Yarrowia lipolytica: one gene and its partner. The protein of the gene in region 1 binds, or shares a complex with, the protein of each later gene. Links are inferred from orthologs where the notes say so. Each region holds a gene or a part of one and is shown on either strand. Other genes may lie near its edges. The genes, in order: YALI1_B12847g and YALI1_F34105g.

Region 1 (4,795 bases):
ATATTAGTTTCGCGTTATACTTTTTTGGTGGAAAAAAAAACCACAAAAGGAAAATGCCGAATAGGTTTTGACGCATCGACAGAACATAGAGTATGCCATTAAAACCGACGAAAAAAGGCGTTATAGAGAATATGGACGTGTCATTGGAACAAAAAGACTTTAAAAAGAATTATCCAAATTTCATCCAATTTTTTCCGATTTTTTCCGGGATTTTTCCGCCCCCAACAATGTCAAAAAATCCTTCTCCATTTCTTTCCATGCAACACTATCCTTCCAGCCACCCAGCCAGCCCAAAACAGACAGACGCAGCCCTAACCCTGCCTAAATGGAATGGGCCACTTTTCTGGGCGCAACCCTAGCCCCCAAATGGCAGGCCAGCCCGGTCGCGTGGGCTCAACGAATGTTTGTTTTTTATTCTTTTTTTTTGTGTCCCTGGTCACGTGAAAAACGAACGAGAGGTCACGTGACACGGGATGGGATATATGCATCACGTGACCTACGCAAGATCCTCGCCCCCGGGGTATTTCCACGTGACTTATTTTCCAAAAAAAACAGAAAAAGGTCGGTGCTGATTTCGGTTAGGGCCGCCGTCGCAATTGTGTCAGCAAAGGGATATGCGAGGGGAAGCACTTTAGGGTTAGGGTAAAGACAGGGTAACTTGAGCGGCAAAAGAGCAACTTGGTGAGAGTGGGACTCGAATGTAGGGCCGACTCGGAGCTACTGTACTTGGAGTAAAGCGGGAAACTGGGTGGGAAACTGGGTGGGAAAAACACAAACTAGAATCGATCGCTGTGTATATATAAATGAGGCTGTTTGTGTTTGTCATGTTGACGGGACGTGGGATAGATAAGGAGGGTGTTACTTGTACTCGCTTGTACAGTATGGTATGTTCCCGTACCGTACCTTCCAGGATGTGTATATATACTCTTAGACTAATGGTGTGAAGCATATGACAAGTTGGATTGAGAGGATTGAACAAGGTGTGAGTGGTTAATTGTGGTGGTTGTGTGAGTGGTGGTTAATGGGCTCATGGTGATTCATGGAGCACTTTTGTGGTAGGTGTGGTATATCTGGAGTTCGAACCAAATGGGGAGATAACTGGGTCGTATGGAAGGAGAAGCTCTTGATGTTACCTTGATCTTCATTTCTTGATTGAGGGTACTTGATGAGAAGTCGTCTATAGATGTCTTTCAAATCATCTACTGTACTGCCAACTGTTATCAGTCTGAAACTTGAGATAATGGGGTAGTTGAATGAATTGGAAAGATTGTATACTAGTTCAGACGGCAGATGAAGCCGCAGTAGAAGCCATTCGAGTATAGAGCACGGCATTACACTGGTACTCTTCCTATACTTACGTAACACACTGTGGAGTGTTAGAACATGGACATACTGGTTTCATGATAAGAACAAAACTGCCAAAAGTAGCAGGTGGTTGAAGGTACTTGCACTTAGAGAACAACTCAGTTCCCCAGCTATAGAATCCACACCGAAACCATGTCTTTGACAGAGAGCCCTGAAGCATACAACGATTGCCTCTTTATCATTAGATACTTGAGAGTCACGAGAAACGAATAAAAGTGCAATAAACAGACTCTTCAACAGATTCTCTACAGATTCACTCAGTCAAATCTACTTCATTTTCATTAGTCATCAATAACTAGTACTCATAGTCACCTGTAGCTGCTTTTTACAACCTCCACGCAAGACCTAATTCTGAGCACACCCGTATAATTATCTACAATACGACACTAGACATGATCTGCCCCACATTCACCATATATATATAATCCCTCTTTGCCACAGACACTGTGCTCATCACCACCAACCAGCACCAAATATCCCCTAACCCTACGCCCTCGGGTTCAAACCTTCATCACTTCCTGTCGTCACACTATCAACTTTTGCAGTCTATTGAACAATGGAGGACAAACGCAACGCTGAAAGCGCAAGTTTGGGCGCTTCTTCCGGCGGCGACAGCAAGCGGGCCCGTGTTGCGGCTCGCCCGGTGTCGCTGGAAGACGTGGCCGAGTTCCAGAAAGAGGCCATTTTCCGGGCCATGGAAACCTATCGACGTGAAAAAGAGACTCTGGAAAAGCAGCTGGAGACGCAAGGCGAAAAGGAGCGGGAGCTGGAGGAGCGCGTCGTTCGCCTGGGCACGTGGTGGGACAAGGTAGCCGATCGGTTGGCCTTGGTGGTGGGCAAATATGAGTTTGAGAAATCAAAGGTCAAGACTGAAGATGTGAAGAAGGAGGAAGACACAGAGAGAGACGCCGGTGATGAAGACGAAGTGGAGGTTGCACCTGGACCTACCGGATTGGCTACGGACCTGGAGCTGGAGGAAAAAAGTGCCTCTATCTCGAGTCACTTCTCCACCCTTCTTGATCTCATTGGGGACAAGATCTCCAAGCAGGACAAGACGGAAGTGTCGCGTCTCAGTGCGGGATACACGGATATGGCCGAGCAGCGTCATCTGCTGGTCCGGAAGATCCAAGATCTCGAACATGAGGCCCAGACCATGAAAAACCAGTACCTAGCAGCAGCCAAGAAGCTGGATAGGTACAAGTCGCCCACCGTGAAGTTGATTGAGGGCGAAGATGTCGAAGAGAAGGCGGAGGAGAATGGCGACCAAAAGACTGCACAAATGGAGGAAAAGAAGGAAACTGAAGATTCCCCAGATACCAAAGATACCGGAGATACTAAGGCCCTGAGAGAAACCATACAAGTCCAGGAGGAACAAATGAAAGAACTGGACGCGAAAATTGCTGCTCTGGAGCACGAGGCTAGTCTGTTCAATGCGAAAATGGCGGATCTGTCCGAATCCGACCTCCTGGATCACTCTGGAGCATTTAAGGCTGCAAAGGAGCAGCTGAGCGATAAAACAGGGCAGATTTTGGCGCTGGAAAAATCCCGTGACGCCATTTCAGCTGAAAAAATGGCCCTCGACGAAAACAGACAACAATACCGGTCGACTATCAAGCGGGAGTTTGAAAAACGCGAGTCTGAGCTCCGTTCGCAGCTGTCACGGGCCGAAACCGATCTTGTGCGAATCAGAACAGCCAGAGACGAGATTCTGGCAGACTTGAGCCAGAAAAAGGCCACTGAAGCGGACAAACTTAAGACGATTGAGTCACTGAAAGAATTAGGCGAGGTGTACAAGCTGCGAATTGGCACTTTGGAGTCTGAGGTTCAGCGGTGGAGAAAAGAGGGAAACGAAGGAGTTAACATGTCCAGCAATGTCGAGGGAAAGTCGCTGGAAGAGCTCAAGAAGGAGGTGACGGTCCTGACGCTGACTAATCAGAGTCTAATGGCCGAGATCCCCGGAATGGAGGCTGCGTTTGTGTCTGCGCAGAAGATGGCCGAAAACAAGGCTTTGGACGTGGCAGACCGTGAAAGCAGGTTAACTAAGTTGCTTGCAGAGAAGGCCAAGGCCGATGAAAAGTACTTTGCGGCCATGCGACACAAGGACGCGCTGGGTGCCGAGAACGCCAAGCTCAAGGCGCAGATGGTCAAGTCTAGTGAGCTAGTCAACCAGCTCCAGGAGGTGGATGCCAAGACGCGCGCCAAGATTGACGTGCTCGAGAAGACGTTATCGGAGTACGTTTCTCTTCATGCAAAGCAACAGGAAGCCGCCAAGCGTCTGACTAGCCAGGTGGCCGAAAAAACGCACATGTTGAACGGCGCTCAAAAGTACCTGACGACGCTCAAGGAGGAAATGAAGCAGCAGGGCACAAAGCTGTCGGTTGGAGAGCATAGAGCTCGAAAACTGGCTCTGGATAATGCCAAACTGACCAAGCAGATCGAGTTGTCTTCTTTTGGAGGCTCTTCTGATGAAATTGACGAGCTGCGGTCTATTGCAATGTGTTCCCTGTGTTCGAAAAACTGGAAAGACACTGCCCTCAAGGTCTGTGGACACGTCTTTTGTCACCAGTGTGCACAGGACCGGCTGGATGCGCGGTTGCGAAAGTGTCCCAACTGCAACAAGCCCTTTTCCCAAAATGATCTGTTGACCGTTCATTTGTAGAGCAAGAGGAGTGAGGGAGATAGAGGAAGGATAGTGTATTATATGGATGTATGGGTTTGTAAATATGAGTGAATGAATATGAGGATATGTACAGATGTGTACGTACACTGTAGTTCGAACACCCGACCTCTTCAAATCTCTAGCATCTCCAACGAACTTGGAGAGCCCTAGAATCGTAGTCATAACGCCTGGAACTCGTCTAATGTCAGTAGAATCACGTGATAGACATATATTAGACAGGGGTAATGGGTTGAAATGGCTTGTTTCGAAAACTGTACCTGTATTTGTATGAACATACTGTACATGCTGATATGTTGGCTTGTTTTGCCCGACGTTTTTTCGTAAGAAACCCTGAGAGTGTTTGACGAGGAAGTAACAAAGGGGCTCTAGATACTTGTCATACACTTCCTTTGAAGATCTAGAATATGTAATGGTTGTACTTGTAGTTCGTTCCTGGTGCGTAGTATTTGTAGAGTAGGAAGTATTTCTACTACCTTGCACTGAATAGTTGCGATAACTAGCTCATATTTATTGCTGTCAACAGCACAAGTTCAAAAACCCTTTCTATTGTCATTCTAGAATCTCCACCTCGCTATGTCATACTCCGTTGAGTACAGCGAAGCCCAGTAATCAGTTAGACACTAGCCACTAGTCTAGTCTACCTAGGAGGGTACCACTACGGTAGTTTTCGATGCGGGGAAGGCCAGAGAGAAAAACAAATATCAAATGTATACTGATTTGAGGTGTTACAAGTGAGCAGTGAAGTGGTTA
Region 2 (3,079 bases), on another chromosome or scaffold:
TAGCATTGCTATTTCTGACAGCAATAAAAGATGTGGCTGAAGACAATTTGTTGACTAACAGCGAACCTTGGAAGTACACAGTGAGACAAGCATCCAACTACAGTTACCAGTAGCTATTGTACTTGCAGCTAACAGATGTTTAACTGAGGTAAAAATATATATCCCTCGTACCCCATTCAGTTTTCCAAAGGATAGAACATGCGCAGGAACTGCGGAACCATGTTGACCAAAATACCGCTTTCAATATAGCCACACGCGGCCCCCTTTCATTGTACAAGTAGTTTAATCCATTTAGCATCTCCGACGGGCTATAAGTCAGATGTATGAGGTGAAGTAGCGATGAGTATGTACTTGTACGGTACTGGTAGTTTGATAAGCTTCGTATTCAGCGGAATTACTGACGTTAATGACATGTCGGATTTACTACACCGGTCAAACGAAAAACAGCGACTTAGAATATCTCCTGATCCAGGTGGTTCACGTAAGCACGGTACTCTTCTTACAGCCTATTCCGGAAGGTTTGATTAGATATATGAACTGGTCTAGAACCAAACATCCCCATCAACGTCCATTGTCTAGTGGCTCAAACTGCATGATGGTGGCAGACGCCCTAATCTCTTCCTCATCTTTTCCTCCTCTTAATGCAACCGATGCGTGTCCCGCTAACGGGCCCCTCCCTCGTTCCCAGTAAAATGGTATCTCTAGTTCGTCTCTTATCCGCTCTAGTCGGTCCAGCTGGCCTCCACTGTGTCCCGCACCCGTTTTTCGTACTGCTGACGGTGATCCTTGTACAGCATAGACGCCTCCACGTTGGCAGGACTGGACGTATTGGGGTCGTTCAGCAGCGACTGCACCGAGGTCAGAATCGCTGCCACGTCATAGGTGGGCGACCATCGGTTTTGCAGAATGTCCAGACATAGCTCGCCAGATGAGTAGACGTTGGGGTGGAACATCTGCGAAACAAACTTGACGGCTGGCGGTTTGTTGGGGTACTGCTCGTCAAACTGCAGCACCATGCGGAAAGTGCCATCTTCAAACGGGGTCTCCGCCGGTCCGATGATCACGGCGTTCCATGTCAGCACGTTATCAGCCACAGGAGATGCACTGACTCCCTGGGGAGGATCCTGTTGCATGCGCTTGAAGTCTCGCATGAGACGTCTTCGAGCTGTAGTGGACATGGCTGTGGCTTGGTTTTTATTTTCTTTCTTCGGTTACCTGTCGTTACTTAACCGTGTGCGGCGTGGGGTGACGTGTGTTGTTGTTTGGTTGTTTCAGGTGGTGATGTAATGAGTTGTATGGCGCGCGCCAGTCTGGCTATCCAGACTTTGCATGTTGGGAAGAAGACAACCACTTTTATATAACGGAGTTAGGGTTGCAGAGAGGATGACAAATGTGGGTGGCGTAAAAGCCGGAATCACGGATGCCTTATATGCAATAGGGCAGGAGCCACCATACCCAGTATGTTACGGTGGCGATTTTTTGCGGGCTGTGCAACGTGTCACGTGACCAAGAAGTCTTCGATATGTACTAGTGCAACAGCAGTTCGGGCAACAAGCTAAAAACGAAAACAAGACTTCGGCTATATACAGACTATTTTTTGGAGGCAGAGTCGCTCTCCTCGGAGAACTCAATGTACTGGTTGGCGGCAGTGTAGAATGCGAATCCGACAGCCATCCACAAGATGGATCGGGTAAGCAATCGCATGCCCCGATCAGGATCCTGGTTAGGCTCTCGCGGTCCCCAGGGTCCAAAGTAGATGTAGTAAGCTGGGTTAGTTTATGGGCTCGTTTGTGGAATAATCAACCGGGGTAACGGTTGGGGCCCGCTCCGGGTTTGTGTCTCCTAGTATCTCACTCCTATACTCATACCCTTAGTGTCTGTTCTCCCCTTCCATACTCACCAGCTTGCTTCTCCTCAGGAGTCATAATCTTCCAGTCTCCACGCATCTGATCCTCCAGGTAATCGACGACATCCTGCTGCTCGTCGGTGGCCATCTTGGGCCATCGTTTGGGAATGTTCAAAGTGGAGGGCTTGATGGGGTTCTTGACCTTGTAGTTGTTGCCGCCAATGTGGAAAAAACCGTCATCGTAGGGGTCATCGTTGCCAAAGGCAGTCTGAAGGGGCGACTCTCGCTTCTTGAGCACCCGCTGAGACGTGCAGAAAAGACGCCGTGATTGTCTGAGCATTGTGTCCTGGTGTCGAGTTGATCTCGTGGAGATCTGCGAAGTATTGGGTAGGGTTAGGGTAATTGAGGAGGTGTAATGTTGGCGGTAGTGAGAGTGAGTAAAGCTGTGGGATTCTCAGATAGATATACGCTCGCGTTGTTTATTATCATTTCCCAGTTCGACACATACTATAATATTCTCCTACCACTGTACATTGTTGTCTACTCTACCTCCTCCGTAGCCTGTTCGGCCCTTCACCTACTGTAAATCTATCAATGTATAAATTATTTGCTTATTCGTCGCTCATAGGAACATCGTCCTTGCCTTCCGAATTCGTTTCCTTCTTGGGAGTCTCCTCTTTAGTCTCATTATCCTCTCCAGTTCTGGGGGAATCCTTCACAAGTTGAGGAACTTCATCAGTCTCTCCACCCTCATTGGATTCTCCCCCCTCACCATCTTTTCTCTTGGCACGCTTTCGTCGCACCTTTTTGACTGACTGGGAATCATCTTCCTTCTCCTCAGGTCGCTCTCGCTTACCCTGATCCTCCTTAGATACCTTCTTCTTCTTGACTGACAGAGGGTTAGGCGCCTTTGGACCCTTTCGCTTCTTGGCCTGCTCTTCATCTCCCTCAGGTGCCTTTCGCTTTACGGCATTGAGACCGGATGTGAGCTTGGACGCCTCAATCAGCTGACGAGCACGCTCAGAAGCAGGGGAAAAGGGCTCCAGCAGCATGATGGCTCGGTTCATATGAATGAGAGGGACTCCAGGAATGGACCGAAGTCGACCTCGCAAACTAGGATCTTGTGTAGCAACAACGTATCTGTGGACATTGGAGCCGTCGACAACAACCGATTTGTAAATGGCCTCGCTGGGATGCATCTTCCGGGCAGCGTTGGAACCATTGTACTTCAGC

Evidence for each region.
Region 2: the proteins of YALI1_B12847g (region 1) and YALI1_F34105g are in contact, whole or in part, in a crystal structure (PDB 7W75), measured with the Kluyveromyces lactis proteins. The link is inferred for Yarrowia lipolytica from reciprocal best matches to the Saccharomyces cerevisiae genes BRE1 and RAD6. Residues at the interface, in XP_451665.1 of Kluyveromyces lactis: Ser17, Glu18, Pro19, Leu20, Thr21, Gln22, Val25, Ile26, Phe28, Gln29, Ala32, Leu33, Arg35, Cys36; in XP_452450.1 of Kluyveromyces lactis: Met16, Lys17, Glu18, Ser20, Met39, Ile41, Asp50, Thr52, Ser148, Trp149, Asp152, Met153, Glu154, Met156, Ala157.

What each region holds. Positions count from the first base shown.
Region 1 is NC_090771.1:1,281,862-1,286,656, reverse strand, and holds YALI1_B12847g (uncharacterized protein), read left to right. Parts: upstream 1-1,921; coding exon 1,922-4,024; downstream 4,025-4,795. UniProt on the Saccharomyces cerevisiae protein: E3 ubiquitin-protein ligase that mediates monoubiquitination of histone H2B to form H2BK123ub1 in association with the E2 enzyme RAD6/UBC2.
Region 2 is NC_090775.1:3,408,630-3,411,708, reverse strand, and holds YALI1_F34105g (uncharacterized protein), read right to left. Parts: upstream 1,179-3,079; coding exon 723-1,178; downstream 1-722. Other genes in the region: YALI1_F34095g (uncharacterized protein), read right to left, coding at 1,591-1,766, 1,901-2,186; YALI1_F34083g (uncharacterized protein), read right to left, coding at 2,458-3,079. UniProt on the Saccharomyces cerevisiae protein: E2 ubiquitin-conjugating enzyme that accepts ubiquitin from the ubiquitin-activating enzyme E1 and transfers it to a E3 ubiquitin-protein ligase.